3 linked regions of the Callithrix jacchus genome follow. The protein of the gene in region 3 interacts with the protein of the main gene of each other region in a biochemical or structural test. Links are inferred from orthologs where the notes say so. Each region holds a gene or a part of one and is shown on either strand. Other genes may lie near its edges.

Region 1 (8,318 bases), on a different chromosome or scaffold from region 3:
GCTGGCCTGTCTGGGACCCCGGAGGGCCAGTGTCTCGGGCTCTGAGCTCTTTCATCCTTGGCTGGAGCTAACTGCCCAACTTCCCTCAGCCCCTGCTCTGCTTCCATATTGGAAGGTGAGAGCCGGGGGGGGGGGGCGGGGGCCACCTCATCATCTCTCATCCCCACCCACCCAAAGCCTTGACCTTCCCCTCAGCATATTCCTGGCTGCCTAGTTCCCTTCTCTTGTGTTGCAGCAAAGTCTCCCTCTTTATTTCTCTGTCTGAATAATGCCTACAGTGAGGGGGAGAACTGAGAGTTAATTGATATAACTGATTATTGGATGACTCGATCCCTCCTCTCCCTACACTTAATGCTGGGGACCCTTGGCTGGGCAGGAATTCTCACAGAAGAAAAAGAGGCTTTTCTTCCATAAGTAGAATACAGCCAGCCAGGCACAGTGGCTCACGCCTGTAATCCCAGCACTCTGAGAGGCCAAGACAAGAAGATCATTTGACCTGGGAGTTCAAGACCAGCCTGGGTCCACAACAGGACCCCATCTCACAAAAAATAAAAAAAATTAGCTGGGCATGGTGGCATATGCCTGTAGTCCCAGCAACTTGGAGACCAAGGTGAGAGGATTGCTTCAGCCCGGGAGGTCATGACTGCAGCGAGCAGCTGTGATCATACCACTCGACTCCAACCTGGGCAACAGAGCTGTCTCAAAAAGAAAAAGGATATAACCAGGAAACCTATGGAGTGCTCCCATCTGGGAGGGCCACAGATCTTCCCAAGTCCACACCAGCTGAAATACAATCTCCTCGTTCCTCTCTTTCCAGAGTACTCTATTCCTTTCCTTTTTATGTTTTAGTAACACATCACAATATGTTCCTACATTTGCATTTATTTTCTTACTTGTTTATTGTCTACCTATCCTACTAAATGTAAACCCCAAAAAGGCAGGAACTAAATCTGTTATGCTCTCCCTTGTATACCAGTACCTAGCACAGTGACTGGACATGATAGGTGCTCAGTAAATACTAATGAAATTAGTCAGCCTTCAAATAAATCAAACACTGACTAAATAATATGGTTATTTCTATGGTAGACGGAGTTAAGCAAAAGAGTAGGAAATTCCTACTTAGGGATTCTGGGATCATTTCCTAGAAAGGAAAATAAGTGGTATGAGTCTTAAAGAATATGGACGCATTACCCAGACAAAGATGAGAAGATTGTTTTAGGACAACATTATAGCATAAACAAAACCTGTCCTGCTGCTGCCCATATTCAAGTGTGACAGTCACAGACTCATTCTCAGGCATGCAAACAGCTATGTCATTCACAGACACACACTCGTCAGACACAACCGTATAATTACAGCTACATAAAACCTTACTCACTGGAGAAGAATGGCCACCCAGGTCCAGTCCTTACACACATCTACTTAGAATCAAATAATCCCAGAGTTTAAAGGACCTTAAGGTTATCCCATAAGCCACCTCCAATCCTTCTTGGAAAAAAGGAGGGATATGGATAAATACATGAGAAACATTTATATACACAGTTAGCAAAAAAGTGGCAGAGGAATCAGGGGAAGATCCATCGGTATGATTTTTGAGAGGCAGAGATTTGGGGTGAGGGAAGGAAGAGCATTCCAGACAGAAAGAAAAAGAACATAAAGGCACAGGGGAAGAGAGGCCAGGTGGGCTGCAGTTCTCAGCATGAGGGCACTAGGAGGTAAGACTGAAAAAGTGGTTTGTGAACAGACTGCAGAAGGTCTTAAATGTCACAATAAGGAGTCAGGATTTTATTCTCTAGAACACAAGTCACTGAAAGTTTTGAGAGGAGTGAAATGAACAGAGTCATGCCAACATTCCCTGCAAATTTTCTGAAATCTGAAATGCATTTCTCTCCATCCTGCTATCACCATACTAGTTCAAGCCACATCACCTCACCCCTTTTCTAACCTGTTACTGATGGTCTCACTGCCCCAAGTCTCCCGCTCTTATAATCCTGAATTCTGTCGCTATTGTATATTTATCTCCACAAAAAAAAATGTAAAGCACCCCAAATTCAAATCCTAGTGCCTTAAGACTTATAACTCTTTAATCTGATTATACCTTTGCAACTTTATTTCCTTTAAGATACCTTTGCAACTGTATCTCCTTTAAGTGAACCCTTTGTTCTTGTTGGGTATCTTCTTGGGTATCTTCTTGGTCTCCCATGGTCTCCCAAACACACCCATTCCTATCTTTTTCTCTTTGCTCAGGCAGCCTGGATCTCCTCTCCTACTTTATGAATATGACTTCTATCAGTAAAGTCACAATAGGGTCTCATTTCCTGTATAAAAGCCTTCCCTAAACACAACCCACATTGACTCTTCTGAGCCACTAAAGTTTATGCTGTCCCAGGACACATAATCATATCCTTTCTCAAACTTTGTCTGACTGTACCAGAATGATGCCTCACCTCTCCATAAAGTGTGGAAGTCCACCAAAGGGCTAGGAACAGATCTTTCCTGAACTTTTCTCCCCCACAGAACAGCCTTCTACTGGCACTTAGGAAAGTCAGTGTTTTAGGATTTTGGAGGCAGCCAAAGTAGGTCTTGGCAGCAAACACACTCTGAGTCACAAAAGTAAAGAAGAAAGAAAGGGTGACACTAGACTCAGAATGCCTCTGTTCATTTTACTCCTGTGGCTCACATTTTACTCCTGCCCAGTTCCTAGGGTTTCTGTGGGGTCTTGTGAGAGAGAGAATTTCCAACAAATCACCTCATCCCCCTCCTCCTTCAGATTTCGCTCAAATGATACCTGAAAGGCCTCTCTGAGGGCCTCAGCCTGTTCCTGGGTGCGATTGTCCTGCCAGGGCTGGCCTGTAGCACGTGTGGGGCCTGCACGGAGACTCTCCCCAAAGACATCCAGGTAAAAGAAGACATAATCCCCATTGGTCAGATTCTCCCTCTGGGCCTGAAGCAGGATCTCATGCAGCATCTCCAGAGGGCCGCAGATATACACAACTGGGAGCAGGTACATGACAGAGGAGCACCCTGAGAAAGTATCCAGGTCCCCCCACACCCCCTTCTGAATCACTGGGATGTCCCTCTTCAGCAAAAAAAAGAGTTCCCTAACCTATTAACTCCCAAGCAGATGCTCCCCAGCCCACCCCCTTGGAGTCCACCATAAGTACCCTGGGGCCATATGGACCATCTGACAGAAGTCAGAGCCTGTCCAGACCCCAGAGGAAGGGAACTGTCACTCTCAAGCCCCTCCCTTTCCCAGAGCCTCCCTTGCTGCTCCCTACCCAGGCCACCTAACTCCCTGACTCTCCCCTGCCCTTCCCTGGGCTCAAAGGCGCTAATAGCACAGATTTCTTAGTATGAGCTTTACCTGTCTTTCCCAAATCTGCCCATTCCCTGAGCCCATTCATGGAGTCCTCATTATTTTTACACCACCGAGGGGTCATGGAACCCAGTCTGGGTGGTAGCTCTGATCACAGACAGGTGAACATTTCAGAGGGGCCATCGATCACATTCACTACTCTAGGGTACTCACATTGTTCCCCAAACTCAATATCCCCCCACTTTCAAATTCCTCCCTGATAGGAGCTTCATACCTCATGCTCTGTCTTCCTAGTTTGCATCTGCCTAGGGTGTTCACAAGTGCCCGTCATGAAGACTTAACCCTCTCACAGGTGCTCTGTCCACATGTGCTTCTTGATCCCAACCACCACAAACAGCTGCTCAGTGCCTATCTCCATCTACAATTCCTCAGTGCTGAGCTTTAGGGACACAGCAACCCTCCCCTGACCCTAAAATAGCCCGGGCCACACTCACTGCGCCCGTTGGCCCGGATGAAGTGGGTGGCCTGCTCAGGGCCCCCTGGCTCTCGGGCATACACCTGGTGCTGCACACTGAGGTTGCTGCCCTGCAGGGCCTCAAAGACGCCCTCGATGGTGAAGTAGTGAGGCCGGTCATCTGTGCGAGCATCCAGATACAGCAAGGCGGCACGAGCAGTCCAATTGAAGTGCCCATGTAGTGTCACTACAAACTCACCCAGCTTGGGAGCAGAGGGGCCAGTGCGAACCAGGGTACGATAATGCTCATTCTTAGCTGCAAAACCAGAGGCCACAGCACCCGCAGTCAGCAGGGGAAGGCGCCAATGGGAGGCAAAGCGGGCCACAGAGGCAGCAGGATAAACGCAACCCGGGCCTAACAGCAGGTCAGGGTCATGGTACAGCTTGAGGTCCACAGCGCGCAGCGGTGCCAGGTACTCAGAGCAGGCGCCTTCCAGTTCGGAGCTGACAAACCGCAGGTCCACGGGCAGTGCCCGGCCCAGCGCCTCCACAGCTAGTGCCACAGCGGGACCCACCCGTGGCCAGGCCCAGGCATAGCTCAGGTTGTGTTCTGGCAGCACCACCGCCAGCGTCAGGTTCCGCGCCCCGGGAGGACGCACCCCACCTGCCAGGGCTGCCACCAACAGCAGGAGTGATGGCAGCGCCATGGGGATAAAGCAGCAGCCCCACCGCCCCCAGAACTTGGGGCTGCTCTGGCCTACAGGGGAGACGCGAGCACCACCCAGCCTGGAGCCTGGGGAAGAGGGCCAGGAAGAGAAGGAGGGGTGGGCTAGGTAGGCTGGAATGCAGAAGGTACAGGGGGCCAGAGAGAGGAAGGAGAGATGGGAGGAAGGCGGGAAGGGGGGGCGGGGGCGGGCAACGAGTGGGCTACCAGCCTCGGGCAAGGACTGAGGACTGACAGTGGGGTGGCAGGGGGAAGGAGTCACCGAGGGGGACTGCGCCTGGGATGGGGACACTGCGAGGCAAAGTAGCCTGATGAACCAAAGCTGAGAAGGAAAAGGGGATCTGGGACTGGGATGGGGTGGGGGTGGGGGGCGGCTGGTACAAGGAAACGGCCTGGGGGAACCTCACAGCTGAAGGGGCCAGGAGGGCAGGAAGGCGCTGCGACACATAGGACCAAGAGGGTAAGGTGGGAGGGTGCCCGCGCCGCGGAAGGACTGGGATCATGGGCAGGCGGGGAGAGAAGCGAGGCCTGGGCCGGAGGGCAGGGGAAGGCAGGGGTAAATCTCCCTGTGAAGGCTTCTCCCGAAGCTCCTGCTGGGACTAACGGGCCCGGGCGCTGGTCCCATCCGGAGCCACGGCGGCCCCGCCCGTGTCCCCGCTCCTCTCTGCTCCGCTTCTCCTGGGCCCTGGCGGCCGGCGCTGCCTCGCGCTTCCTCCCGCCCCCCGCCTGGGCCCCGCGCGCGCCGCTCGTCCGGGTCAGGTCGCCTCGGCCCGGCCCGTCTCCGCTAGCTGCGCCGGCGGCCGAGTGCGACTCCCGCGGGCAGGCCGCCCGCCCCCGCCCCTCCCCCGCCGCCCCTCCTCCTCCCTCCCGGCCCCACCCTCCGGCGCCGGCTGCCTTCCTCCACCCCCCCTCTCCCGGGCGCCCGGGACCGCTAGGTCCCAAACCCACCCCGGTAAGCACTTGGGGCTCCGCACCAGGGCGTCGCCGGCCGGCGGGGTTCCCGGGCGCTCCCTCACCCTCAGGGCCTACCCGGGTCTCCCTCAAGCCCCTGGTACCCCCGCCGCTCCACTTCCATCTCACACAGGCCGGCAACCCCAGGGCTTGTCCTCTTATTCTCGCTTAGCCCGCTCTTCTTAGGTCTCCTCTCCACTCCCTGAGTCCCTCAGGGGCTCTAGTCTCCAGGGAGCTGTCGAGGATCCCCAGACGTGTGGTGTCCTCACCAGGCGCCCGCCTAGCAAACCATATCACCCTCCCGACGGCAGAGCCACTCACTCCACCCGGGGCCATGCCCGCTCCCTGGACGGGCCCTCCAGCGGCCAGGGGTCCCCCAGCGGCCAGGGGTCCCCGCGCTACACTTCCCACCAATCCTTAGGAAGTCCACGAAGCTCCTTGTGGCTGGGAACTCCACCCTTGGCCCCCGCTGTCTCCATGCCCCCTTCCCTCCCGGTGTCCTCAGAGGCCCACCGCAGCCCGCCCGGCTTCCTCCACACCATCTGCTCAGTCAGGGCCTCGATTTTCTTTTGTCTCCTGCACAGCGCAAGCTGGCGCCTGGTGAAAGCCTGTAACGGACCAGCGGACACTCCCCGCAATGGAAGCCCATCCACCCACTCCTGGGGTTCCACCTTGCTCCCAGCCTTTCAGCCTTAGGAAGCTCTCCCCGGGGGCGGGGGGAGGGGGGAGGCCCATATCTGGAGTGCCAATCTGACCCCAGGAACAGCTTGTGAGGGATGATCTCATGGTGGCTGAGAGGGGCTTCTATGGGACCTTGGGGATTTTTCTCCAACTGTCATAAAGGACATGCATGTAAGCCCAATCTCTTCCCGTGCTGAGAGCCACGGTCTCTCTTCACCTTCGCGCTATTTCTCCTGAAATCACAAGCTAAGAGCGCTCCTGGAGCCCTGGAGTGGGGTGTGAGTGTAGGGTGGGGACAGGCCTGGTTTCTCTGAGATGAAGGCGACACCTAGTGGTTTGGGGGGGAAATTAAGGACAATGCCACTTTACCCTTAGGCACGATATTTATTGAACACTGGCTGCCTAGCACAAGCTGTACCCGTGAATACAAAGATAGCCGAATGATGCAGTCCTTACCTTTGAGGAACATACATTTGCAATCCCTGGGGCACAGAGGCCAAGGGCAAGCCGCCCCTGACAATGTCTCTTGCCTCAAGGAGAGTAGAGATGGAAGCCTTCAGACAGATCCTTCTTTAACGCAAGGGGTGATAACTCTAGTTCCAGGCTCCCAATACTGTAGTGAAAAGGAATTTCGTCCTATCTGGGCAAAGCAGAAAAAGGAAGAGTCAAAAGAATGATGAGACAACATGAGAAAAACTTTAGACCAAGTCAACCAAATAGAATAGTTGGGTTTTAAGCAACAACACAGTTTTATGAGATAAGCAAATCGAAAATGGCAAAATCCCTGAAAGAATTATAGTATGACAGGCCTAGGAGGAATCATATAAATATATCATGTATCCTTCTCATTTAAAGATACTTGAAAACCAAATCCCAGAGAGGAAGTTTGCAGTATCCTTACTTGCTCCTCTTCCCCAACCCCACATGGTTTTTTAGTTGCAAAAGAGAGATGAAAATGCAGGTTTCATGGTCTCCAAGGAGAGGCTTTTTACAGATATTTTGCTGACTCATGGAACTTACTGTAGAAAGCTGTGCTTACAGTATAATAGCTACCAAAGACCCATGTGAGTCTCTCTGGAACACCTGCAGCCCTCAGTGAGGATCAGCCACCACTACTACCACTGTCACACAGGCTCCTAAGCAAGTACAAGTACACGATGTGTCATTATTCTGAACACTGAGGACAATTCTTCATTATGTTAGGGATTAAACATTCAAGCATCTTGCCTTTCCCTCTTCCTTCCAATTGGCCACTTAACTAGAAAGTAGGAAGGGGCCAGGCACAGTGGCTAAAGTCTTTCTCATGTTGTCTCATCGTTCTTCTTTTGGCTCTTCCTTTTTCTGCCGTGCCCAGGTAGGACGAATGTCTGTAATGCCTGTATTCTCTATTTAAAAATCAAACAAATCAATTGGACATGGTGACACAAACCTGTGGTCCCAGTTACTTGGGAGGCTGAGATGGGGGGGGGGGATCACTTAAGCCCGGAGGACAGAGTCTGCCATAAGTCATGATCATGACACTGCACTCCAGCTTGGGTAGACCCTGGTGCAGTGGCTCATGCCTGTAATCCCAGCACTTTGGAAGGCCAAGGTGGGAGAAGCAAAGGAGTTTGAGAACAGCCTGGGCAACATAGTGAGACCCTACCTTCATAAAATATAAGCAAGTAAGGCCAGGCATGGTGGCTCACACCTGTAATCCCAGTACTTTGAGAGGCCAAGGCAGCCAGCTCATTTGAGGTCAGGACTTCGAGACCAGCCTGGCCAACATGGTGAAACTTTGTCTCTATTAAAAATATAAAAATTAGGGTTGTGGTGGTGGACACCTATAATTCCAACTTGGGAGGCTGAGGCAGGAGAATTGCTTGAATCCGGAGGTGGAGGTTGCAGTGGACAGAGATCATGCCACTGCACAACAAAGCGAGACTCCATCTCAAAAAACAACAACAACAAAATAAAGTAAAAACTAAAAATAAAATTTAAAAGATAAAAAGGAAGTGGGAAAGAGTGGGGATATAAAAGTTAATCCTCAAATGAGGTATTTTATTAACACCCAGGTTTTTGGTGTTTATTTTTTCATGTTTGGGGGAAGCTGAAAATATTAGATAAATGAGACCTTTGGTTATGTATATATCCAGCTTTTCATGCTCTCATTGTTCTCATTGATGTGGACAATAATATTCTGGCTGTATTTG
Region 2 (8,250 bases), on a different chromosome or scaffold from region 3:
TAGCTGGGCATGGTGGTGCATGCCTGTAATCCCAGCTATTCAGGAGGCTGAGGCAGGAGAATTGCCTGAACCCAGGAGGCGGAGGTTGCAGTGAGCCGAGATTGCGCCATTGCACTCCAGCCTGGGTAACAAGAGCGAAACTCCATCTCAAAAAAAAAAGCACAACTATTTCTAGTCCAGTCATTTCTTCTGAGCTCCAGTTCCACTAGTCTGAGGCCTATCAGACATTTTCACTTGAGTGTCTACAGGCACTTCACAGCCAATAAACTATAAGTATCATCCTTCCAAAACCTCCTCCTTCAGCTTCTCAACTAATGGAGTCCACGTCGCCTAGACCTGTTATTTGTATAATGTCTTCACTTCCCAAAGTTCAACTGATTCTATTTACAAAGCATCTCCTCATCTCCATCTGCTGTCTACCTCTATAATCTCTGGAACCTGCCATCTCTATTATAGGACAAGGACATTATGCCTGTCACACAAAAGCTTTCATTATCTTCCCTCCACTGCCCTCTCCCCTGACTCTCTTCCTCAGTCATCCTACATGCACACACCTTACAACCTGGATCAGGGCTGAAAACACAAACTCCTACCTACAAAGCCAGGCAGGTAATGCACCTAAGTGAAGCAGGGTGCCTAGGAACCATGATGAACTAGACTCATTTCAAGGAGATAATGGATACTTGTTCTGGCTGATTGCTCCTGGAGGGATGCAGGACCTATACTGCCAGTTCTTCCAATATTTTCAGAAAAGTCAGAAATCCAGGTTGGGCCTGACGGCTCACACTTGTTATCTCAGAACTTTGGGAGGCAGATGCAGGAGGATCGTTTGAGCCTAGGAGTTTGAGACCAGCCTGGGCAACATAGGGAGACCTCCATCTTAAAAAAAAAAAAAAAAAAATCATAAATCCAAATATTCATGTGGCATCTTATGATTTTTAAGTGTGGACAATTAAATATATGTAGAGAGAATGCAAATCAAACAAAGCATGCCTATCATCTCAAGTTGGCCTATCGACCACAATTTGCTCTGGATGGTAAGAGTATTCTTCCAATGCAAGATACCGGAAAAACAAAAAAATAAAAAATAATTAAAAAAAAAAAAAGAATATTCAAGTCTCAGCCAGGTGCAGTGGCTTACACCTGTAATCTCAACACTTTGGGAGGCTGAAGTGGGTGGCTCACCGGAGATCAGGAGTTCGAAATCAGCCTGACCAACACAGTGAAAACCGGTCTCTACTAAAAATGCAAAATTAGCCAGGCATGTGCCTGTATTCCCAGGAGGCTGAGGCAGGAGAACTGCTTGACCCCCAGGAGACCAAGGTTGCAGTGAGCTGAGATTGGGCCACTGAACTCCAGCCTGGACAACAAGAGCAAAACTCCCATCTCAAAAAAAAGAGAAAAGAGGGCCGGGCGCAGTGGCTCATGCCTATAATCCCAGCAATTTGGGAGGCCGAGGCAGGTGGATCATGAGGTCAAGAGATCGAGACCATCCTGGTCAACATGGTGAAACCCCGTCTCTACTAAAAATACAAAAATTAACTGGGCATGGTGGCGTGCACCTGTAGTCCCAGCTACTCGGGAGGCTGAGGCAGGAGAATTGCTTGAGCCCAGGAGGCAGAGGTTGTGGTGATTCAAGATCGTGCCATTGCACTCCAGCCTGGGTAACAAGAGCAAAACTCCGTCTCAAAAAAAAGAATATTCAAGTCTCCTAAAATTCCATACATAGGCAATATACTTCAACATTCTGCTCTGTCTACACAGAATACCTTTCTCATCCTTCTGTCCTCGTTGAATTATTTCTCTTTGGAGATTTTCCGGCCCCAATCCAAGCAGAATGAATAGCCCTCATCTGAGTCGTTTAGCAATTTATCCATGTCTCCCATGCATGTTGCATTACGGTTATTTGTTCCAAACAGAGCTCTTCAAAGGCACGAACTATATATAGATTCATCTTTATGCCCTCGGCACCTAGTGGGTGCTTGTGATTGACAGCACAGAAGGTTATCTGGAAATGTTTGCTGACCAGAAGTTTGCTGATCTTATGTCCTACTTAGGCGCAGCCTTGGAGAGGTTGGCGCTGCAGTGCCGTCAGTGACTTCTGATGACCATTAGAGGGCACACTGATTCCACAGCAGTCTGGACCGGGGCACCAGCTGTCAAGTGCCCCAAAACCCACTCCCCAATTTAGGCCTCCAATGATTATTTCCAACATCATCTCCTACAGCCTTCATTTTAACAACCCTCAACACAAAACAGTCATTTCTGGGGGAGGCCCTGAAGTATGAAACTATTCTCTCCCAGTCACCCACCCGCTCTCCTCAGCTTCCTAAAATTTGAGCCCTAAAGATTTAATTCTGCCCTGACACGAGCTCATTTTTTCACGGCGAATCTGCACAATCTGGAAGATGGCAGTCAGGGAAAGAGATCGGGATCATAGAAGGGCTGGGTAACAAGCACTCTGGGCTCGCCTTCAACTTTCACGGCCCTTTCCAGAAACCCGGCACCTTGCACCGACTCCCAAACACACACATCCACGCACTCACAGTTTCCTGCCGGGATCCCAAACCAGCACATCTTTCCCTCTTCCTCGGAGAAAACCAGATAGGAGGCGAGCGAAAAGGTGGGGCGCAAATGGGCCCCGGCTGCTTCCACACACACGCTCCGTTCAGCTCTACCTTCCATCCCGGCGAGGGCGCACCTTCAGAGGGTCCTGTCCGAGGAGGAAGGCATGGGCAGCCGAGACCTGGGAAGAGGATCCACCGGGAAGCGCACGGGCTGGACGGCGGGAAGGAAGGAGTTAAAGATCCAGGATTGGCTCTTCTGTCACTGAGTCTGGGAGGGGAAGCGGCCGGGAGGGAGGGTTCGGAGCTTGGCTCGGGTCCTCCACGGTTCCCTCCGGACAGCCGGAGACTTGGGCCGGCCGGACGCCCCTTCTGGCACATTCCCCGAGGCAGGCGCGCACGCACGCTACAAACACACACTCTCCTCTTCCCTCCCTCGCGGGCCTTCTCCCATCCTTCTCCACGGAGCGCTCTCTCTCTCTTTCTCTCTCTCTCTCTCACACACACACACACGCACGCACAAGCCCAGTTGTTCACACTCGGGTCCTCTGGCCTGACGTTCTCCTGGCACCCACCTGCTCCGCGGCGCCCTGCGCGTCCCCCTCCATCGCGCCCCTCGCGCTCTCCGCCCAGACCGTCGTAGCTACAGGGGGCCTCGTACCCCGGGGTGAGCGCCCCTGTCCCGCTCATAATTCTTCCCATAGGGACGCGCCTGATGCCTGGGACCAGCCGCTGAGCCGTAGGGGACGGAGGAGGCCATGGTGGGAGCGCTCGCCCGCTGCGGTGCCCGCTGAGGCCATGCCGGGGCCCCGGCGTCCCGCCGGCTCCCGCCTGCGCCTGCTCCTGCTCCTGCTGCTGCCGCCGCTGCTGCTGCTACTCCGGGGCAGCCGCGCGGGAAACCTGACGATAGCCGTGGTACTGCCTCTGGCCAACACCTCGTACCCGTGGTCGTGGGCGCGCGTGGGACCCGCCGTGGAGCTGGCCCTGGCCCGGGTGAAGGCGCGCCCCGACTTGCTGCCAGGCTGGACGGTCCGCACGGTGCTGGGCAGCAGCGAGAACGCGCTGGGCGTCTGCTCTGACACCGCCGCGCCCCTGGCCGCGGTGGACCTCAAGTGGGAGCACAACCCCGCGGTGTTCCTGGGCCCGGGCTGCGTGTACGCCGCCGCCCCGGTAGGGCGCTTCACCGCGCACTGGCGGGTGCCGCTGCTGACCGCCGGCGCCCCGGCGCTGGGCTTCGGTGTCAAGGACGAGTACGCGCTGACCACCCGCGCGGGGCCCAGCTACGCAAAGCTGGGCGACTTCGTGGCGGCGCTGCACCGACGGCTGGGCTGGGAGCGCCAGGCGCTCATGCTCTACGCCTACCGGCCGGGTGACGACGAGCACTGCTTCTTCCTCGTGGAGGGGCTGTTTATGCGTGTCCGCGACCGCCTCAATATCACGGTGGACCACCTGGAGTTCGCCGAGAACGACCTCGGCCACTACACCAGGCTGCTGCGGACCGTGCCGCGCAAAGGCCGAGGTGAGACGCGGGCGCACCGGGTCCCGCAGCTCCGCCGCAGGGCTTCCCCTCTGACTTCCACTCTCGTCTCTCGTCCGGGCCACTCTTCTTTCTCCTCCCCGGTCTTCATTCCCCTCTCAGCTCCTAGGCCCTTTCTGCTGCGGAGTTTTCTATTTCCCTCTCTTTTTAGCCACCCTGCACCGCGCCTCTATACTCTCACCTCCCCGACCCCCACTCACTCCCTCCAACCCTGGCAAAGCTCAGTTCCGGTCCCTTTTTATCTCCCGCATTTTCTCGCTTCCCTATAGCCTTCTCCCCACCTTCATCCTCTCTTCCCGTCGCTCCTCAAAGTCCTCTCCGCACCGCCCCCCGCCCTCGCTCCTGTCGCCCTCCTGGCCCCACCCTTCTCTACCTTCAGCTCCACTATTCCCCTCTCCATATCTGTCCCTTCCTCTCTTCCGCCCCCCACATCGCCTTCGACCCTTCGTCTTTCTCCTGCCCTGCCGTGGTCTAGGCTGAGCCGGGTTGCCACTTAACTCTCACCGGGCTTCTCCTGCCCCCCATCTCTAACCTCCTCCCCTCGGTGCCTCCGCTTTCCTAGCCCTGTCTCTCCCACAGTACCTAGGCTTCTCTCTCTGAATACTCCTTTTTCTGCAGTTATCTACATCTGCAGCTCGCCTGATGCCTTCAGAGCCCTTATGCTTCTGGCCCTGGAAGCTGGCTTGAGTGGGGAGGACTACGTTTTCTTTCACCTGGATATCTTTGGGCAAAGCCTGCAAGGTGGACAGGGCCCTGTTCCCCGCAGGCCCTGGGAGAGAGGAGATGGGCAGGATGTCAGTGCCCGCCAAGCCTTTCAGGTGAGTACCTAGGTTTGAGGTGAGTACCTAGGTTTGAAGTTAGTACCTAGGTTTGAAGCTCAGGCCATCTCAGCTTGTGGCACGTCATTTCTGGGCACTGTGTCCCTCAGTGTCTGAAAGAATTCCAGAAAAAAAAGGTTTGGTCTGTTTGTTTCTTCATGCACTCATGGTAACTCACAGAACAGAAAAGTGGTTGGTGATGCTCTCTGGGAATTAGGCAGTGAAAGGCAGGGGACTAGCCGGGGCGCTTGAGCACCAGCAGGCTAAAAAGAAGAAAATGGGCTTTAGAGGGGAGGAGGTTAAAGTCCCACTGTCTGGACAGGACTTGGAGAAGCCATCCCTTTGGATTCCCTGCTTTGGAATGGGCATCACTTCATGCGGGGAATAGGGTTCAGTTTGACCTTGAGCTAAGCGGAGACCCAGCTCTGGGAGGTGGGCTCTAACTGTTGGGGCCCCATGGTACTGCGGGGATAGAGTCAGCTCCCAACTCTCTGCTCTCTGCCGACCGCTTCCTCAGGCTGTCAAAATCATTACATATAAAGAACCAGATAATCCCGAGTACTTGGAATTCCTGAAGCAGCTAAAACACCTGGCCCGGGAGCAGTTCAACTTCACCATGGAGGACGGCCTGGTAAGAAGAGGTACCGGGACCCTACAGCGTGGACCTTCAGCCCCCACTCCACGACCCTCTGCCAGCCTCCATTCCCTCTTCCCAGTTCTCCCCTTCCTTCCCTTCCCATTGTTCCATGTCTCTCCCGACTTATCCCTCTGGGATGTGAATCCCAAGACTGGTGCCTTCAGGGTAAGTTCGTGCATCCGGAAGACAGGGCCAACTCCAAGGCATCATCAGTGCCTCCTCCTGATGATGAAGGAGGACACTGGCAAGTTCAGCCTCTGAAACTCAGGTTACCATCCATAATACAGAGATGATACATCCCGCCCTGTGTGCCTAGTGTGATTCAGGAAGCGATGCTAATCCAAAGGCATCATTTAAATAGTAAAATCTAAATAGTCTGTTGGTACCAACAACAAAAATAAATAAATAGTAAAATCTCCCAGTGATGTAGGGGTGTTATTTTCTCCTATCCTCTTCCAAACTCCCAGTGCCTCTCATTCCCTTCCCCACAGCCCCCAACTCCATGCCCTTCATTCACCTCACCCCAGCCAACCTCTGCTTGCCCCCACAGGTGAACACCATCCCAGCGTCCTTCCATGATGGGCTGCTGCTCTATGTCCAGGCAGTGACGGAGACTCTGGCACATGGAGGAACTGTCACTGATGGGGAGAACATCACTCAGCGGATGTGGAACCGAAGCTTTCAAGGTCAGGGCCTTGAGGTGGCTGGAATGGGCAGCCTTGGGGGATGAATCCCAGGTGCCCACTGTCGTGAGAAGTCTGTAGCACAGAGTCACCAGTGCACACCAGCCTTTTCCTCCACAGCTTTTTCTCAGGCGCATCCCTCCAGAAGTCCTACTGAGTGTCCAACCTCAATCATCCCTGCTGGGCACTGGATCCTTTTATTTTATTTTATTTTTGAGATGGAGTCTCGTTCTGTTCCCAAGGCTGGAATGCAGTGGCTAGATCTCAGCTCACTGCAACCTCCAACTCCCAGGTTCAAGCGATTCTCCTGCCTCAGCCTCCTGAGTAGTTGGGATTACAGGTGTCCGCCACCACACCTGGCTAATTTTTTGTATTTTTGGGGGATGGGCATCACTTCTTGCAGAGCATAGGGTCCTGTTTGACCTTGAGCTAAGCAGAGACCTAGCTCTGGGAGGTGGGCTCCTGACTGTTGGGGCCCCACAGTACTGCGGGCATAGAGTCAGCTCCCAATTCTCCGCTCTCCACTGACCCCTTCCTCAGGCTGCCAAAATCATTACATATAAAGAGCCAGAGGTTCTGGGACCCTCCAGCGTGGAACTTGAGCCCCCACTCCACGATCCTCTGCCAGCTTCCATCCTTCCCAATTCCCAGTTATCACCCTCCCTCCCTTCCCATTGTTCCATGTCTTTCCTGATGATGGAGGAGGACACTGGCAGGTTTTTTTAGTTGAGACAGGGTTTCATGTTGGCAGGCTAGTCTCAAACTTCTGACCTCAGGTGATTCGCTTGCCTCAGCCTCCCAAAACGCTGAGATTACAGGCATGAGCCACAGTGCCCGGCCCTTTTACCATTTACTGTCATTCTGTATGCATGTATGTTTGGAAGGCAAGGCAAAAAAGATGAGAGGATGAAGAGATGAAGTGGGATACCGCTGAACTTCCATTCTCTCCCACACAGTCATCTTCCCCTGTGTCCTCAGGTGTGACAGGACACCTGAAAATTGATAGCAGTGGTGATCGGGAAACAGACTTCTCCCTCTGGGATATGGATCCCGAGACTGGTGCCTTCAGGGTAAGTTTGTGCACCCAGAAGACAGTGCCAACTCCAAATGGCATCTCACCCTCCTACTTCCCCCCACAGCCTTACCAGGGCACCTTTTATCCTGTAGCCACTCTACCGTGCCTGGACACTTACGAGAGCCCTGAATAAGACAGACCCAGCTCCAGTCTGGGAAAGCCACCAGAACGATAGGGACCCACAGGCATCACACTTGGGGAGCCCCATGCCTGAGGAGAGAGCACAACCCTGGCCTCAGAGAGCTCCGAAGGGAAGCAGGCAGGACCGCCTCCCAGCAGAGGCAGGGTCACAAAGGATGCACATTACACACCTCTACAAGTGAGTGAGGACAGGAAGCCACTGAGACCGATGGCAGCAAGGGACAGGTCATCCAGAGAAGGTTTCCTGGAAGAGGGGCACATGGATTGGGCCTGGGGATGTAGGCTGAGGTGAACACGGCCTTATTCTGTTTTCTACCAAGAAAATAGGTAGAGAAAAATCAATGCTTGGTTGGTGCCTCAACCAAGATTATAAACTCCCTGAGTGTAGACATTGGGTTCTATATGGAGTTTTCTTTGTAAAAATTCTTGATAGTTGTCAGGTGTTTCCACTTGAATAATACGTGTGTGGTATGAGGTCCAGTATCCAGTTGCAGCAGGGGCTTGGTAAACAGGTGACAACCCAGACATATATAAGCTCTGGAAGCAGAGCTGGGGTAGGTAGGAGGTGACATTGCTGTGCTACACAGCAGCCTTCCCCTCAGGCCCTGGCCTAGCCACCACTCCTGCTCTCCCATAGGTTGTACTGAACTACAATGGGACTTCCCAAGAGCTGGTGGCTGTGTCGGGGCGCAAATTGAGCTGGCCCCTGGGGTACCCTCCTCCCGACGTCCCCAAATGTGGCTTTGACAACGAAGACCCAGCATGCAACCAAGGTGACTGGCCCTCGCCTTCCAG
Region 3 (7,603 bases):
CTATTCTAATTATTCATTGCTTTCCCTGGGTCGTTAGACATGACTCACAGTTGGTGAAAAATTAGACATGACTCACAGTTGGTGAAAAAATAAGCTGCCCCTAAAACCTCACTTTTATTTATTTTATTCTCTTTTTTGTTTGTTTTCCGATACAGGATCTCCCTCTGTCACCCAAGCTGGATTACAGTGGTACAATCACAGCTCACTGCAGCCTCCCTGCTTCCAGGCTTAAGCGATCCTCCCACCTCAGCATCCTGAGTACCTGGGACCACAGATATGCACCACCACACCCAGATAATTTTTTTCGTTTTCGTTTTTTGAAGATATGGGGTCCCACTATGTTGCCCAGACTGGTCTTGAACTCCCGGGTTCAAGCCATCCTTCCGCCTCGACCTCCCAAAGTGCTGGGATTATAGTGTGAGCCACTGTGTTTAGCCTAAAACCTCATTTTTGAACAATTTTTTTTTTGAGATGATGGATTTTCACTCTTATCACACAGGCTGGAGTGCAATGGCATAATCTCAGCTCACTGCAAGCTCTGCCTCCCAGGTTCAACTGATTCTCTTGCTTCAGCCACTCGAGTAGCTGGGATTACAGGCACACAGCACCACGCCCAGCTAATTTTTGTATTTTTAGTAGAGACAGGGTTTCACCATGTTCAGGAGGCTGGACTCGAACTCCTGACCTCAGGTGATCCACTGGCCTGAGCCTCCCAAAGTGCTGGGATTACAGGCAGGAACCACCACGCCTGGTCTAAACAATCTTAATTTGTGTCATTAGCTATTCATAAATCCTCAGTTGCACCCTGAGTTAAAATGATAAATAACACAAAAACCCACCCTCTAGTTCCCTTTCATTCAAAGAAACATCCAATGAGAACATCAGAAAGGACTTGAGAGTGAAATTCGAGGCCAGGAGTGTGGGGCTGAAGAGTCAGAGAGCACAGGCTCAAGAGTCACCTGGATCTCTGCTCAGTCCCCAGCACCAGCGCTTAGTGGCTGTGTGCTCTTGGGTAGGATGCTTGCTTTTCCTGGGTCTTTGTTTTCCCATTTGGAAAATGGGCATAATAATAGTGGACCTCATGGTGCCTTACCCCTCAGCTGAGCTGGAATTATAAATGGCATTGTGAGAAAGGGAATGGCATGAGACCCTTCCCAGGAATCTGAAAGCAGAGGAACTCAGCACTGTGGGAAGCCTGGATTGCAGGGTGTGTGGGAAGAGGACCCATAAGAGGAGATTGCCCCCCACTGGTTAAGGCAAAGAGAAGAACTGATACAGCCCTGGGGAGGAGCACCCTGGAAAGCTGGGCCAATCGCCAGACCCTCTCACTTTGTGGGTTGGAGTTTTGAAGGCTCCTTTGCAGGATGACACCAGGAATTGGAGTTTAAAGCTGAGATTTGGGGCAGGATGGAGGGCTCACCCCCATAGAGGAATGCAGATAAGCCACACACAGAGACACACGCACACACTGCCCCCAATCACTGACATTTTAGCTGAGACACGAAAACAATAATCCCCAGGGTAAGTGCTTTAATGGTGGGATTCCAGGAAGAGCAAAAAAGAGTGGAGAAAATGGCTGGGCACCTGCCCTCAGGTTGCTCAAATACATCAGGGCCATTGCACACCCAGGAAGAAACTGTCCTGCTTTGAAAAGCCATTTCTCCCAAGTGCCTCAAGTGTTTGCAATATATATGAACATTTCAGAGCATTAAAAACCCTGAAAGAAAAGAAAGCCTGCTACTCCCGGGGCCGTGTCCCCATCCGACCATGAACATGCCTTGAGATCACAGGGCTTTGTGGTTTTTGTTTGGTTGGTTTCTTTGAAATGAGGGATTCGTTGTAATGCACAGAGACAAGTCAGTTTCAAAAGATAAAGCTTATGATGTTGACTTTATTTCACCATGGAAATTTTGTGCTCAAAGTTAAGAAACCATCTTATATAAAACAATCAAATAAATACATAAATACATAAAAATAAATAGGAGTCACTTCAAAGGTGGTTGCAGGGTTGAGGAAAGAGCCCTTTGTGGAATCAGAAGCCAGTAGCTGCAGCCAGGACTTCCTCTTACTACCACCTCAGCCCTGCCAAGGAAAGAGAAAGTGATGATGGTTAGGGTGAGAAAAGGAGGCAGGGGCTGAGCTTCCCTCACTGTGTGCCACCCGCCACGCTTTTTAGTCATCAGACGTTTGAGGCTTAATCCAACTCTCTGAGCCTCAGTTTCCTCATCTGTAAATCGGGGATTATCATCACTCTGGTGATCCTGCTCTCTGCCTTTGAGACTATAGACAGTTTAGAGGAAACCAGGAGGAAATGTTTGGTTCTTTTTCTGCACCACTGAGAGGCTGCCAAATGATAAACAGACCCCAAGGGAGATTCTGCCCCTTTGATAAGAGAGGTAGGAGGTGGGGAGAAGGTATTGCAGGCATATTAATGAATGAGGCCCACATTTACTAACTCCACAAAGACAACCCTTGGCCCTGCAGGCTGTTAACAAGAGGAAGTGATGTCCAGGTGTCCTTTTCTCAAAGAGTGTGGTGCCTAGAGACAACAAACCCTGAAGTGACTCTAACAGCATCACACACTGGAATGGGGGCAGGCGGGAGAGATGGCAAGGGGGTGCTCACTTTTACAGCCCAGGCCACTGGAGAAGCTGATCCGGTCCATCCTTCGCCCAAAGCAGCCAGTGTCTCGCATTGGCTTGAGGCTTCGTGGTCCCCGCAGGGTGGAGAGAACCAGTTTGCGGAGCCCAAAGATGCCCTCCGTGGCTACCTCACGGGCCTTCCAGACAGCTGTGGGATGAGGGCTCTTCTGGAGAGGCTCCAGGGATGTCTGCTCTGCCTGCAGCTCTGAGAGTTTGTCCTGCAAATGGCCTTGCTGCTCCTGCAATGGATGGGGGAGTCCAAGACTCAGGGTCCCACCCCTGGGCTCACCAGCCCTTCATGGCACCCAAGTGAACTGACTGCCTTGGGTCCTGGCACCCAGTCTCTCCATTTTCTGATTCCTTTATCACTAATTCCAAAGGGACGGTGAGGGTCTCTTGGGACAGCAGGTGGGGACCCTTTCACTGCTGCTGTCCAATCTCCCTGAGTTGCCCTCTGCTCTCACCTGTAACCTGGACGTTTCCAAGTCCGAGGGCAAAGTGGGGCTACCCAACGGGTGGGAATGACCTCCAGGGAGAGCCAGGTGCAAGAAGAGCAGGAGCAGGAGCACCCGGGAAGATGCTGTCTGGAGATCCATATCTCTGGAGGGACTGGCAGAGGCTGCTGCTGCGATGCGTCTGAGTTTGCTTCCCACCTACCCTCAGCCTGCTCCTCGTGGCTCCTCCTGGCTCCTCGGGACACTGTGGACTTTTATCCTGGAGCTGATTGTCCGGCTGGCCCTGCCCTGCAGGGTTATCTCTGATTTATCAGCCACATTCCTGGCCGCTGAGATCAGGGCCCGGGAATGCGCCCCTCTGCGCCTGCCACGCGGGAGGTGGAGATCCGGCAGAGCAGGCCTTGTATAGAAGTGGGCCAGGCCGGGCCGGGGGCGGGAGCGCCCTGGAGACACTGACAAGTCCCAGCCTCACGCTTCTTCCTTTCCTGCAAAAGTCCAGGTGTCCTAGGTTGGCGCTTTCGTCTTGCCTCCACACCCCACCGTGGCTGGAAAAGGCAGGGAGAACCCCGGCGTTCCGAGGCCAGACGTGAGCGCGGGGCTCACAGGGTGACTCAGAGCGAAAACAGCCCGGGCCAACACCCCGCCACCCACGGCGCGTCTCCCCTCCCCTCAAGAGTTCCCTGGCCCGCACGTAGCGCAGCACCTGCTCGCCGCTGCTGGTCCCCGGGGCGCCCTGGCCGCTGTCCGTGGTGCTGATAGTCCCGAGGGTGCTCTGTGCAAACTCTCAAGAGCTGCTCTCTTCAACCGAATTTCCAGGCCAGAAAGATCTGAATGGAGCAGGAACAAGAGACCTCTAAGACCCTTCCCTATGATCTCACAACCCCCCATCCCATAACCTTTACAGCAACGGGACGCTGATTCCCGAATGGCAATGCATTAAAAGCCTGGGTATGACCAGGAACTTCTGGAATGCTGACCCTTCTTTCACCCCTGAAAGGGAAGAGCAGATTTCACTGGAATTTTGAGAGACAGGACCCAGTAATGATGAAGTGATCCAGGAATGCCTCATATGTGTCTCTTTCAGGTGTCAACACCTCCTCTCCCCGACCAAGCCAACACTGGATAGAAACAGAAGGATGGCTGGAAAGATGGTTATCTGTTTGCTGGGACACCAGAGATATTCAGAGCTTCCCTGCCCCAATGCCTTCTTCATCTGATCACCCATGAACTAATTCTCATTAGCAGGTGATCTGGGCCTCCTGTCTGTGATTTGAAATGAGACTCTGAAGAGAAATGGTCCTGGGAAAAATCACAGCAGCTTAAATACCCACCTAAAGCATATATGACCAATGTTACTCCCCTTCCAGAGAATCTGTGCCAACAAGTAGCAGGGTGGAGGAGTGGCGCTGTCTAGGAGGAGAGATGGTTATGGCAGAGAAGGACAGCAATAAGAAACTGGGACCTCCAAGCAAATCTTGCCTAAAAAGTAGCATCTGCCCCTCAAGTGAGAAAAGTATCATTATATTCCTCATTTCAGACCAGAAAATGGCGCTCATGAATACATCTACTTTCTAAAAGTCACCCAACTGGCACATGATAAAGCCCGGATTCCAACCCCAGGCAGTCTGATTCCAGACCTGAAGCTTATAATCTCTGCCAGAGTGATCACAAGGTGTTTCTACAAAAAGCAAGCTTAGATGAATCCCCGGTCATCTGTGAAGGCTCTGAGAGCTGTGCTGTGGGGGATGTGCAAGTCTGGTGACTGTATGTGCAGGAGAAAGGATGGGAAGTGGCTCAGATGAGATTTTGAAGATGAAATGAAAATGGGGGTGGGTGGGTAAGGGCTGTGTAAAGACACCAGTGCTGGAAATGTTCTGGGGGCTGGGGTAGTTGTGTGTGTGTGTGTGTGTGTGTGTGTGTGTGTGTATGCATGGGCATACCACAGGGAGAGTCTCAAAAGGCTAAGAGGAAGTCAAAGGGGTAAGAAAATTCATCCAAGTGCAGAGCTGAGTCAGTGAGTGTGAGGCTGCAGAGAACCCCTCATATAAAGGGTTGGGAGCAAGGCAGGATTCATCAACCAGCACCATCAAAAACTGACTCTGCATCTCGCTGGAGTCTCACTTTGCTCTTCAGCAAAATGGACAGTCCTTGCGAGGACCAAAAGGAAGAACATAATTTCTGCAAAAGCCCGTAGCACTGCAGAAAGGGCCAAATAATCAAGAATACATGAGAGTTGGTCTTTATACTGAAGGAGATTGTGATCTCATTGGGGAGACACAGTGACCCCAGGTGGGACAATTAAATGTTTAAGTGTTGTACACTCTGACAGAGTTTCTATATAACCCCAGTGGAGGGAATTGTGGAAGAAGACTTGAGGGAAGGCATAGGACTAGACAAATCCTCCAAGGCCTGCTGTCCCGGGAGGAGACAAGTTGTCAATCAACTCTCACACCAGATCAGCCCCATCAACACTACAGAGGTCCTGACATGTGCTATGTGTTTTCCATGTCTCTTCAATGAAGCTAATCATACCACCTCTGTCACAGCATTAATGTGCAAGGATTAAACTTGATGATTTCATTGGTAAGGTGAATAATAGTCCCCAAAAGATGTCCACATCCTAATCCCCAGAACCTGCGAATATGTTACTGTACATGGTAAAAGGACTTCCCAGGTGTGGTCATGTTAAGGATCTCAAGGTAGAGAGATTCTCCTGGATTATTCAGGAGGGCTCAATGTCATCACAAGGGTCCTTATAAGAGGGAGGCCAGAGGATCAAGGTCAGAGGGAAAAAATGTTAGGTGGAAATAGAGGTCAGAGAGGAAGGAAGAAGCTACACTGCTGGTTTTGAAGATAGAGGAAGGGGCTGCAAGCCAAGGAATATAGTCACCCTCTAGGAGCTGGAAAGGGCAAATAAATGGATTTTTCCCTAGAGCTTCTGGAAGGAACATGGGCCTGCTAACACCTCAGTTTTAGTCCAGTGAAACAGATTTCAGATTTCTAATGTCTGCAATTAGAAGAAAAGAAAATCATGTTCTTTTAAGCCAACAAGCTTGTGCGACTTTGTTTCAGCAGCAATGGGAAATTAATATAGTATATGTCAAATGCCAGGCATAGGGTCCAGCCCATGGTAAGCCTTCAGTAAATGTTGTTGTGGTAGTAGAATTTGTTCCCCACCAGTGTCCAACCCTAAGTGCTTAATCTAGCCATAGAGAAAAAAAATAAGACCCTTAAGTCATTCAACAAACTTTCATCAAGAGCCTGGGGTCAAAGTAGTCCACAGCCAAGACTGAAGTCAGAGTCTGGGGCTCCATTTCACATCAATTTCTTGCTACCTCTGTGTTCTTGGGCAAGTTGTTTCCTGTCTCTCCTTGTTTTCTCATTTCTCTACCTCAGGGTTGTTGTGAGCATAAAATGAGACTGCACAGGTGAAAATTTAATATTTCTGCTGGAAGCTGGGGATGCATAAAGGACAAGAAAGTCCCTGCTCTTGAGAAGCTTACAGTGCAGGGGGAAAGGTAGGCACATCACAGGCTCCCCAGGCTGACACAGTGAGTGACAGATACAGCAGCAGTGAGTCCTGGTTGCCCTGTGAGCACAGCAGGAGTGTGCAGCAGAGAAGGGAGCTTGCTGGAGAAGGTGGGACTGGGCTAAGGCTTTGAAGGATAAGAATGAGTTAGCCAAAAGAAGGAAGACAGAAGATGGGGAGTGCACTCTGGGCAGAGCAGATGCACAAGCAGAGGCTGGAAGGGCTGCTTAATGGATCGGCTACCACCACTAGGTTCTCTGCAGAAAGAAGAAACTGTGCAGAACACAAGGTTTGACTGGTCAGTGAGCACGACTCCAGCTGCAAGATTTTTCTGTAGCTTCCCTCTGGCCTCAGTCTCCAGCCCAGTCTTGGGCAGCCAAAGTGAGTGGTATGTGAGCACTGAGCACCTGGGGGAAGGTGAAGGAAGAAGCAGAGGAACACGGACTCAGGAGGCAGGAGGCAGGCTCATCTCTGCCCGCGGCTGACGCACTGCGTGGCTCTGTTCCGGGGATTCTGCTCGGGTTGCTTCTCTGTTCTGGGATGGTTTCCCTTTGTGCAGAATGAAAGGATTAGACTAAGGTTTCTGCCAGCCACAAAATCCCTAACTGTAATAAATCAACTCATTCTATTCTTTTTTTTTTTGTTTGTTTTTTTTGAGACAGGGTCTCACCTGCAGTCTTGACCCCCCGCCAAGCTAAAGCAATTCTCCTGCCTCAGCCCCCTGAGTAGCTAAGACTACAGGCATGCACCACCACACCCAGCTAATTTTTAGGATTTTTGTGTGGAGATGGGGTTTCGCCATGTTGCCTGGGCTGGTCTTGAATTCCTAAGCTCAAGCAATCCTCTTGTCTTGGCCTCCCCAAGTGCTGTGATTACTGCTGTGAGCCATCACAGCCGGCCAGCTTACCCCAATTCATACATCAGTTTGCTAGCTCCCACTCCCCCAGTAGTACCTCTGTCTTCTGCTGTGACCCTTA

The links. The genes of interacting proteins can lie anywhere in the genome.
Region 1: the proteins of NPPB (region 3) and NPR2 form a complex in vitro, tested with the Homo sapiens proteins (3 studies listed by BioGRID). The link is inferred for Callithrix jacchus from reciprocal best matches to the Homo sapiens genes NPPB and NPR2.
Region 2: the proteins of NPPB (region 3) and NPR1 form a complex in vitro, tested with the Homo sapiens proteins (2 studies listed by BioGRID). The link is inferred for Callithrix jacchus from reciprocal best matches to the Homo sapiens genes NPPB and NPR1.

Annotation. Positions count from the first base shown.
Region 1 is NC_133502.1:142,690,820-142,699,137, reverse strand, and holds the start of NPR2 (atrial natriuretic peptide receptor 2), read right to left. Parts: upstream 5,310-8,318; 5' UTR 4,478-5,309; coding exon 3,811-4,477; intron 2,995-3,810; coding exon 2,789-2,994; intron 1-2,788. UniProt on the Homo sapiens protein: Receptor for the C-type natriuretic peptide NPPC/CNP hormone. Has guanylate cyclase activity upon binding of its ligand. May play a role in the regulation of skeletal growth.
Region 2 is NC_133519.1:14,100,386-14,108,635, forward strand, and holds the start of NPR1 (atrial natriuretic peptide receptor 1), read left to right. Parts: upstream 1-2,941; 5' UTR 2,942-3,362; coding exon 3,363-4,083; intron 4,084-4,719; coding exon 4,720-4,919; intron 4,920-5,436; coding exon 5,437-5,550; intron 5,551-6,106; coding exon 6,107-6,242; intron 6,243-7,217; coding exon 7,218-7,309; intron 7,310-8,092; coding exon 8,093-8,228; intron 8,229-8,250. UniProt on the Homo sapiens protein: Receptor for the atrial natriuretic peptide NPPA/ANP and the brain natriuretic peptide NPPB/BNP which are potent vasoactive hormones playing a key role in cardiovascular homeostasis.
Region 3 is NC_133508.1:49,739,577-49,747,179, forward strand, and holds NPPB (natriuretic peptides B), read right to left. Parts: upstream 3,328-7,603; 5' UTR 3,239-3,327; coding exon 3,107-3,238; intron 2,882-3,106; coding exon 2,626-2,881; intron 2,083-2,625; coding exon 2,069-2,082; 3' UTR 1,862-2,068; downstream 1-1,861.